Linked DNA regions of Sus scrofa. The main gene of each other region encodes a partner of the protein of the gene in region 2 in a complex. Links are inferred from orthologs where the notes say so. Each region holds a gene or a part of one and is shown on either strand. Other genes may lie near its edges.

The links. Proteins that work in one complex are often made in the same cells at the same time.
Region 1: QRSL1 (region 2) and GATC share a complex: the UniProt entries of both Homo sapiens proteins name them as parts of the heterotrimeric GatCAB amidotransferase (AdT) complex. The link is inferred for Sus scrofa from reciprocal best matches to the Homo sapiens genes QRSL1 and GATC.

What each region holds. Positions count from the first base shown.
Region 1 is NC_010456.5:40,412,603-40,416,773, forward strand, and holds the start of GATC (glutamyl-tRNA(Gln) amidotransferase subunit C, mitochondrial), read left to right. Parts: upstream 1-1,362; 5' UTR 1,363-1,425; coding exon 1,426-1,506; exon of another isoform or gene 1,507-1,595; coding exon 1,596-1,768; exon of another isoform or gene 1,769-2,898; intron 2,899-4,171. Other genes in the region: TRIAP1 (TP53-regulated inhibitor of apoptosis 1), read right to left, coding at 225-308, 1,174-1,362. UniProt on the Homo sapiens protein: Allows the formation of correctly charged Gln-tRNA(Gln) through the transamidation of misacylated Glu-tRNA(Gln) in the mitochondria. The reaction takes place in the presence of glutamine and ATP through an activated gamma-phospho-Glu-tRNA(Gln).
Region 2 is NC_010443.5:72,818,591-72,822,101, reverse strand, and holds part of QRSL1 (glutamyl-tRNA(Gln) amidotransferase subunit A, mitochondrial), read right to left. Parts: intron 515-3,511; coding exon 355-514; intron 1-354. UniProt on the Homo sapiens protein: Allows the formation of correctly charged Gln-tRNA(Gln) through the transamidation of misacylated Glu-tRNA(Gln) in the mitochondria. The reaction takes place in the presence of glutamine and ATP through an activated gamma-phospho-Glu-tRNA(Gln).

The DNA.
Region 1 (4,171 bases), on a different chromosome or scaffold from region 2:
ATCCCATCATTTAGCACACGAGTTCCTGGTGAGATGCCAAAGCCAGAAATCTAAGCAGAGTGATGGCTCATCATCTTTTACAAGTGAAAGAAAAATATCAGGAAGGAAACTCCTCCCTCCTAAACTCATCAAATAGATCCGCTATCTTCATCACTTTAATTGACACAATCCAGGGTCTTCAATTTCCCGATTTGAGGAGTCCATTTTCAAGGTGACTGTCAAGGTCAAGAAGAGCTTTCAGGCTTTTCTTTGCCATGGCCCATGAACTCCAGTCCTTCAATGGGAATTTCCTTCTCCTTTATTGCTTTCTGATGGGAGAAAACAAATGCTAAAGATCTACATGAAGCCTGAGGACCAAGTTTTATCAATATGATGGTACAAAGTCAATCTGACTGGACCAAACAAACCCCATACTTTTGAACATAAGTGAGATTAAGTGTAAGATGAGAGAGACTGGAAAGAGTTGTGTCATCAAAATTCAGAAGTGGAATTTTAAACAGTATCACCACTCTTGTGACAGATACAAGTTAAATCAGTTCCAGGACTTAAGTAACTGAGCAAGCCTCACTTTCCTAAGTGGGAGAAAGCAACTCCACATGGAATTAATTGCTTAAGTTTTTAAACTAACTGTGAGTGCCTTGCCCAGGGCTGTTGTTACAATTCAAAGCAGTTTCACATTCTTTGAGCTGGAATAAAAATTTGCTAGCTAGAGAGATAAAACAGACCAATGGAGGGGTAATAACAACGAAACAGACTCTCCATAATATCTTAACAGGCCAGAAGGCTAACACTCGGTCTCGATCCGCAGCAACTATGGAAAATACACAGTTCAGGAAACTTGATCCCAGACTAATCACTTCCTATTTCTGGTTGCGAGTGTTCCACGCCTACAATGCAAGTAACTATGCCCACTTTGCAAGTTTAGGTTGCGCATAAACCAAAGAATGTTAATGGGCTCCGTAAAAAGTAAAGCGCAGCAAAAAATATTTAACTTTGTCATTCGGAGAGATATCAGGTGACCTTGGTGGTGACGGTAGAGAACTCCTGCCATTAGTCTCATCGAGGCTTTCCCTCGCCCTGTCCACCCTCACCCCTCAAGATAAGATGGCCCAGGACACCGCAGAGAGAAGCCGGGGCCTGGGGTAGAGGCGAAGGGGCCCGGGCAGCGCTCACCTGAACACATTGCTGGTAGCGTTTGAAGAGGTCAGTGCACGGGTCACCGGAGCCCTCCCCCTTGAGGAACTTCTCGGCAAACCAACGATTGAAGCACTGGTCGTACTCGCGCTTCATGTCCGTGCAACCCTCCCCTACGCTGTTCATGGCGTCGGCGACAGCGGCGGTGACGGCGCTCTCGGATGTCATCACTTTTAAGCGCGTCGCTCGGCTTTACGAGAGGACGCACTACGGAGGCCGAGCAGGAGAGAAATGTGGGCGCGGGCTGTGTGGCTCGGCCTTCGGGCCTCGGCGGGCGCGTTCCGGGGCTTCACCTCCAAGGCGGATCTTCAGGTAAAGGCCGGAGCGTCTAGTCCTTGCTAAAGCCGGGCGGGAGGCGGAGCAGACCCCATCCATGACCCACGCCCTCCTCATTGCCCCAGGGAAGTGGCCGGATTACGGCCGAGCTGGTGGAACATTTGGAGCGACTAGCGCTTGTGGACTTCGGCAACCAAGAGGCCGTGGCGCGGCTGGAGAAAGCCATTGCCTTCGCCGACCGGCTCCGCGACGTGGACACGGACGGGGTGGAGCCCATGGACTCAGTCCTGGAGGACAGGTAAGCTCGCTCGCGGCGGTAGAGATTAGTGTCCCAATTCATAGAGGGGAAAAGAGCCTTAGGGAGATGCGAGAACTTGCCCACGGTCACCCCGCGAGTAAGTACTTTCACTCTTTACCTTGTTCGTTGGGGATCCTTTCCCTCCTTTTTATTTATTTTTGGCCGCCCCCGCGGCATGTTGAATTTCCCCGGGGTTAGAACCCGGCGGCAGTTTCGACCTGCATCAGAGCTGGGATAACGCCGGATCCTTAACCCCTTGCACCACAGGGGAATTTACAGTCACTCCCAGGGTAACTAGGAACGAAATCCGAACTGCGAAGCTTGACTTTCGAGGCCCGATTTAAGAATCCCTTCCTATCACTCCGACGTACTGCTTTTATCACTCTAACCACATTGGTTTCATTACTGTTTCTCCACACTCCAGATTCGTTTCTCCTCTAGAGTCTTTGCGCTTGCCATTCCTTTTGTGGATAGTCTGTCTCCTTGGCGTGTTTTAGCCTTTCCTGACCACTTCAAATACCTCACACCTTCCCGTCACTAACTCCTTATCCTGTGGATTTTCTTCTAATATTTTTCTTGATTATCTTATTTTCGTTGATTCGTAATATTTGTTACTAGAATGTGAGTTCATGTCTGACTTATTACTGTTGGATTCCCGTATCAAAATTTTTTAATGACCATATTTTCTGATCTAGTGGCTTCCTATGGAAGTATTTTTGAAAGTGCATCAAGATGTTTGCACAAGTATGCAATTCTGTTTATAATACAAAACAACAGAAAAGAAGCAAAATGCCCCAGAAACAATCTAAGTGTCCTTCATGACTAAATACATCATCATACACTGGAATATTTGGCAGTTAAAAATAATGAGGAGTTCTGATTGTGGCTCAGCAGGTTGCAAACCCAACTAGTGTTCATGAGGATGCTGGTTTGACCCCTGGCCTTGCTCAGTGGGTTAAAGATCTGGCGTTGCTGTGAGGTGTGGTGTATGTATGTAGGTCTCAGACATGGCTCAGATCCCAAATTGCTGTGGCTGTGGCTGTGGCTGTAGCATAGGCCAGCAGCTGCAGCTCCAATTTGACCCCTAGCCTGGGAACTTTCATATGCCACGAGTGCAACCCTAAAAAGCAACCCCCCCCCCAAAAAAAGCCACAAAAAACCAAAAAGAACCCCCAAATGTCTAAGAGGGCAGAGTAGTAACAATAATCCAAATGATGAAATAGTGTAATGCAATGGGAGGGCAGGTCTTTGACAAAAGGGTGCAGCCTCTACCCACCTCTACCAATTTTGCCAAATCTTAATATATTTTTAAATAAGATGTTCTTTTGGAGGTGTTTTCATTTTTTTGTTTTTTTGTCTTTTTTTTTAGGCCCTCTCCCATGGCATATGGAGGTTCCCAGGCTAGGGGTTGAATGAGAGCTGTAGCTGCTGGCCTACACTATACCCACAGCAACACCAGATCCAAGCCTTGTCTGCAATCTGCACCACAGCTCACGGCAACACTGGATTCTTAACTCACTGAGCGAGGCCAGGCATTGAACCCACATCCTCACAGATACTAGTTGGATTTGTTCCTGCTGTGCCACAGTGGGAACTCCCATTAATTCTAATACATGTTGATCTATTTCAAGCAGATTCCTTTTTGCTTTGGAAGTTGGTTAATTTTTCTGGTTATATCAGTTAAGTTTTCCTTGACATTATCATCTGGTTCATGATTTTCCATCTTGAGCCTTACACTCTCCATCCCATAGTCACTGCCTCTGGGTCTTCTTCAGCCATGCTAAGGTTCACTCCAACCTTTGCTCAACTTGGCTAGGTGCAGCCATCCTTGGCTGTCATGTGACACCTGAAGTGGGTCAAAGATGTTCTTTTTCAAAAAGCAGACTTATTTGCTGTTTGGGACTGCAGCTTGTTAGGAATAATGCATATGTAGCTTATAAAGACAGGAGCAGTCTACAGCTGTCCTATCCTTTTCCTGATGGAATTTTAAAAAATAAACTCCTGGTAGAGGAGAAAGATTAGTTCCCTTTAGTCAGTACCATTAGGGAGAACCACACCTATCAGAAACCATAACCTTCATGTAAAGTGCTTGCTAGCCTCACGTTCTCACTTGTATTTGATTCCTTCAAATCCTCTATTTTGTAATCTGATGCTTAAATCTAGGGAGGTTAGCCACTTTGCCCAAAGTTTTTTTTTTTTCTTTTATTTTTTCTTCACCTGCAGCATATGGAAGTTCCCAGGCTAGGAGGTGAATTGGAGTTGCAGCTGAGGCCTACCCCACAGCCACAGCAATGCTGGATCCAAGCCTCATCTATCTGACCAGTGCCACAGGTTCCAGCAGCACCAGATCCTCAATCCACTGAGCCAGGCCAGGGACTGAACCTGCAGCCTCAGGGATGCTAT
Region 2 (3,511 bases):
TGTGGTGAAGGCTGGTAGCTGCAGCTCTGTTTCAACCCCTAGCCTGGGAACTCCCATATGCTGCAGGTGTGGCCCTAAAAATACAAATAAATAAATAATAGGGAAATGTTTTTTATGTTTAAAGCTCCACTTGCTGGGAATTCCCTGGTGGTATAGGAGTTGAGACTCGGTGCTTTCACTGCCGTGGCCAAGGCTCAATCCCTGGTCTAGGAACTGAGATCCCACCTCAAGCCACTGCATGCTGCAGCCATAAATAAATAAATAAAATAAAGCTCCACTTGCCAAATGGAAACTGCTACATCCAATTAAATTCTTTCTCTTGGGATATAACAATTGTAATTCAAAGGAATTTACCTTCCTTATATCTTTTCTCTGATTCTTCAGCTTGCTTTAAGGCCACCTCTTCTGATACAGTAATGTAAGCATTTAGAAACTTGGTCTTCTTAATAAGGGAGAGACACTTTTGACAGAGCTCAGTTGGAGTAATTTGGCCTTGTTTCAGTGCTGTAGAAACCTGTAGTATATACAATTCAAAAACCCTTTGCTGAGTTGGCAGAAGTTTCAAATGTTACACTATGGTGGGCAGATAGAGTGATTAAGTATAAAAATTTGAAGTGAGGCTTGGATTTAAAACCAAGAGAACTGATCAAGTCTATACTTAGTGTGGTGAATGAGGGTAAAAACATTGGTCAGCTGGATTGGGTTGGAGGACACTGCCTTCATAGCTCTAGCTAAGTAACTCTATGTCAGGCTTGAACAAACAAGATCAATGGTTTAGGAAAGCCACCCTGTCTAGGAGAAGTAGAGGCCCAGTGTGGGTGAAGCATAGGTTAGGGTAGATTGTGTACAGAGAAGAGCTTAGCAGAAACATGGGCCATCCATGGAGCAAAAGAGAAATGAACTAGACAAGGCATTAGAGGACAATGGCCCTCCCAAAAGTGATCTTCATTAAATAGATTTTTTTTTTTTTTTTTTGTATTTTTAGGGCTGTACCCTCGGCATATGGAGGTTCCTAGGCTAGGGGTCTAATCAGAGCTATAGCTGCTGGCCTACACCACAGCCACAGCCACACGGGATCCGAGCCATGTCTGTGACCTACATCACAGCTCACGGCAACACCGGATCCTCAACCCACTGAGTGAGGCCAGGGATCAAACCCACAACCTCATGGTTCCTAGTTGGATTTGTTAATCACTGTGCCACGACGGGAACTCCCTCTTTTTTTTTTTTTTAAATCTACTGTAGAACTCAAGCAAGAGCCACTATGAATTGAGAGAAATCCTTGTAAACTATGAATTCAAAAGCCAACCAACAACAAACTTTTCTAAAATCATATCTTTGATGCATTAGGAAAGCTAACAAATAAGCGTTAAAATAAACAAATGAACAGAACCTGAATACTGACAGTAAAGCCTAAGGTGAAGCGATGACTATATAATACTTCCTGTAGGAAGTAATAATAATAAATACCTACTAATCAGATAAAAGGAATGAATAACAAGATGTCAAAGATGACACAAAAGCTTTGGGGACAATCTGAAAAGAAAGTTGGATAAGATGGCAGCTCAGAAACAAGGGGGATCGGGGGGAAAAGTAGCATTTTCTGAGTATTTACCAAGAGCCAGGCACTCTTGTTGCTTTATGTTCATTATTACTTTATTTAAACCTTAAAACAACCAGTTAAGTCAGGTACCATTAACTTCATTTTGCAGATGAAGGAACTAAAGCTCAGTTAGGTAACGCGATCTGTCCAAAGTTACACAAATAGTAAAGAGTAACTTAACATCTGCTCCTTTACCATTTCTCTCTGCACCAATGGAAGCCTGTCCTGTATGTTAACTGTATTTTCATGTGTCCTATATGCCTCAAGCAAGAGGGGTTTGCATTTAGGGGAAAATCTGCAAATGATCTGCTCTAGGCTGTTGAATAAATCATCAAAGCAGCCGCATTCTTAGGCCTGAGGGTTTTAAGCCAGAAAAGCGGTGGGAACAGCCCACTGAGAGAATCCCTAATGCTGATGGATGAGGAGAGGGCTGCCATGGGAGAGATTCAGGATGGGGAGGGGCAGCTGGGCTTGACTTAAAAAAAGTAACCTAGTAACGAGAAGAGCTAATTCTGTTGAATGGTTTGTATGAAATGTAAACTCTTTAGAAGACAGGAGCTGGAGAGAGAGAAAAGACAGCATACTGTCAATAGAGAGTGGGCTTATGTAAATAGGCCGGGTGCAAGAGTCAGAACTAGCAGGAACACAAAGCTGGAGAGACAGAGGTTTAAGTCCCCTAGGGCCCTTTACCCTCAAGCTGCCTTCTGACTTGCCAAGTGATGAGAGAACAAGTGGTAAAGAGCTGCTGCTCTTTAGACCCACGCTAAGAGGCTGATAATTACTTCCAATTGTACAGGTAAATTACTGACATTCCTGCTTGAAATTACACAGCTAGAAAGTAGGAGAGCTGGGATTCAACCAAGGCTCTGATCTTGTTTCCAAAACTCATGCTCTGGGCCATGAAAACGACTACTTTTCTGCAATGTGTTACAGCATTTACTCAAAGTAGAGAACATTTTATTAACTTTATAGATAACATCAAGAGATTCACTTAAAGAAGGAACTTTCAAAAGGAAAACTCTTGCTAAATGCTGAAGATACAGAAGGCCTTTGAAGGCTGAGTGTTCAGTTGACTGGTACTGTCCTTAACACACTCATTTAACATTCATGCTTTTGTCTCCATTATTCCAAGAAATAGCACATTGAGATCACCAGCAAACTCCACAGTCCTAAATCCAGCAGCCGCAGCTCAGTCCAGCCGCCCTCGGCATTCAATACAAGGCATTACTTCCTCCCTGAAGTACTTCTTCATGCGTATTTCAGGACATCAAGCCCTCCCGGGTTTCCTCTTGCCTTACCAGCCATTCCTTCCAGTCTTTTTGCTGGCTCTGCTTCCTAATGCTGACCTCTAAATGTCGAGCAGTTTTAAGCCTTTTATTTTCACCCTCAACTTCCCATGGGATCTCATCTGACCAAGTACTTCAATTATCTTCTCAACTCTGGCCAATTTATATCATACCTAGCTTCCTTCTTGATCTCCACACTCCTGTACCTACCTGCTTAACTGACATCCTCTCTTAGACATCTTTGAGGGCATCTCAAAATCAACATGTCCAGAACGGCAACCTTGATAACCTTCCCCTCACAAACATGCTCCCTATAGTCGTTCCTATCATGATGAATGTTACCATTTCTCCAATTGCTCAGACCCCAAACCTAAGCATCCTCCTTGACTGATTGATCTCCCTCAAACCCCGTATCCAATCCATCAGAAAGCCCTGACTTAAAAGACATCATACCCACCTTGCCCTGCCTCTACTCCCACCATCCTATCCATTCTGCGGTCATCTCTTACCAACGCAACAGCCTTCTAACTGGTCTTCCTGCTTCCTCACTTGCTTTCCGATGGTCTATAATCCTGAGCAGCCTGAAGGAGTTTTTTAAATTTTAAATCAGATCAAAGTCCAA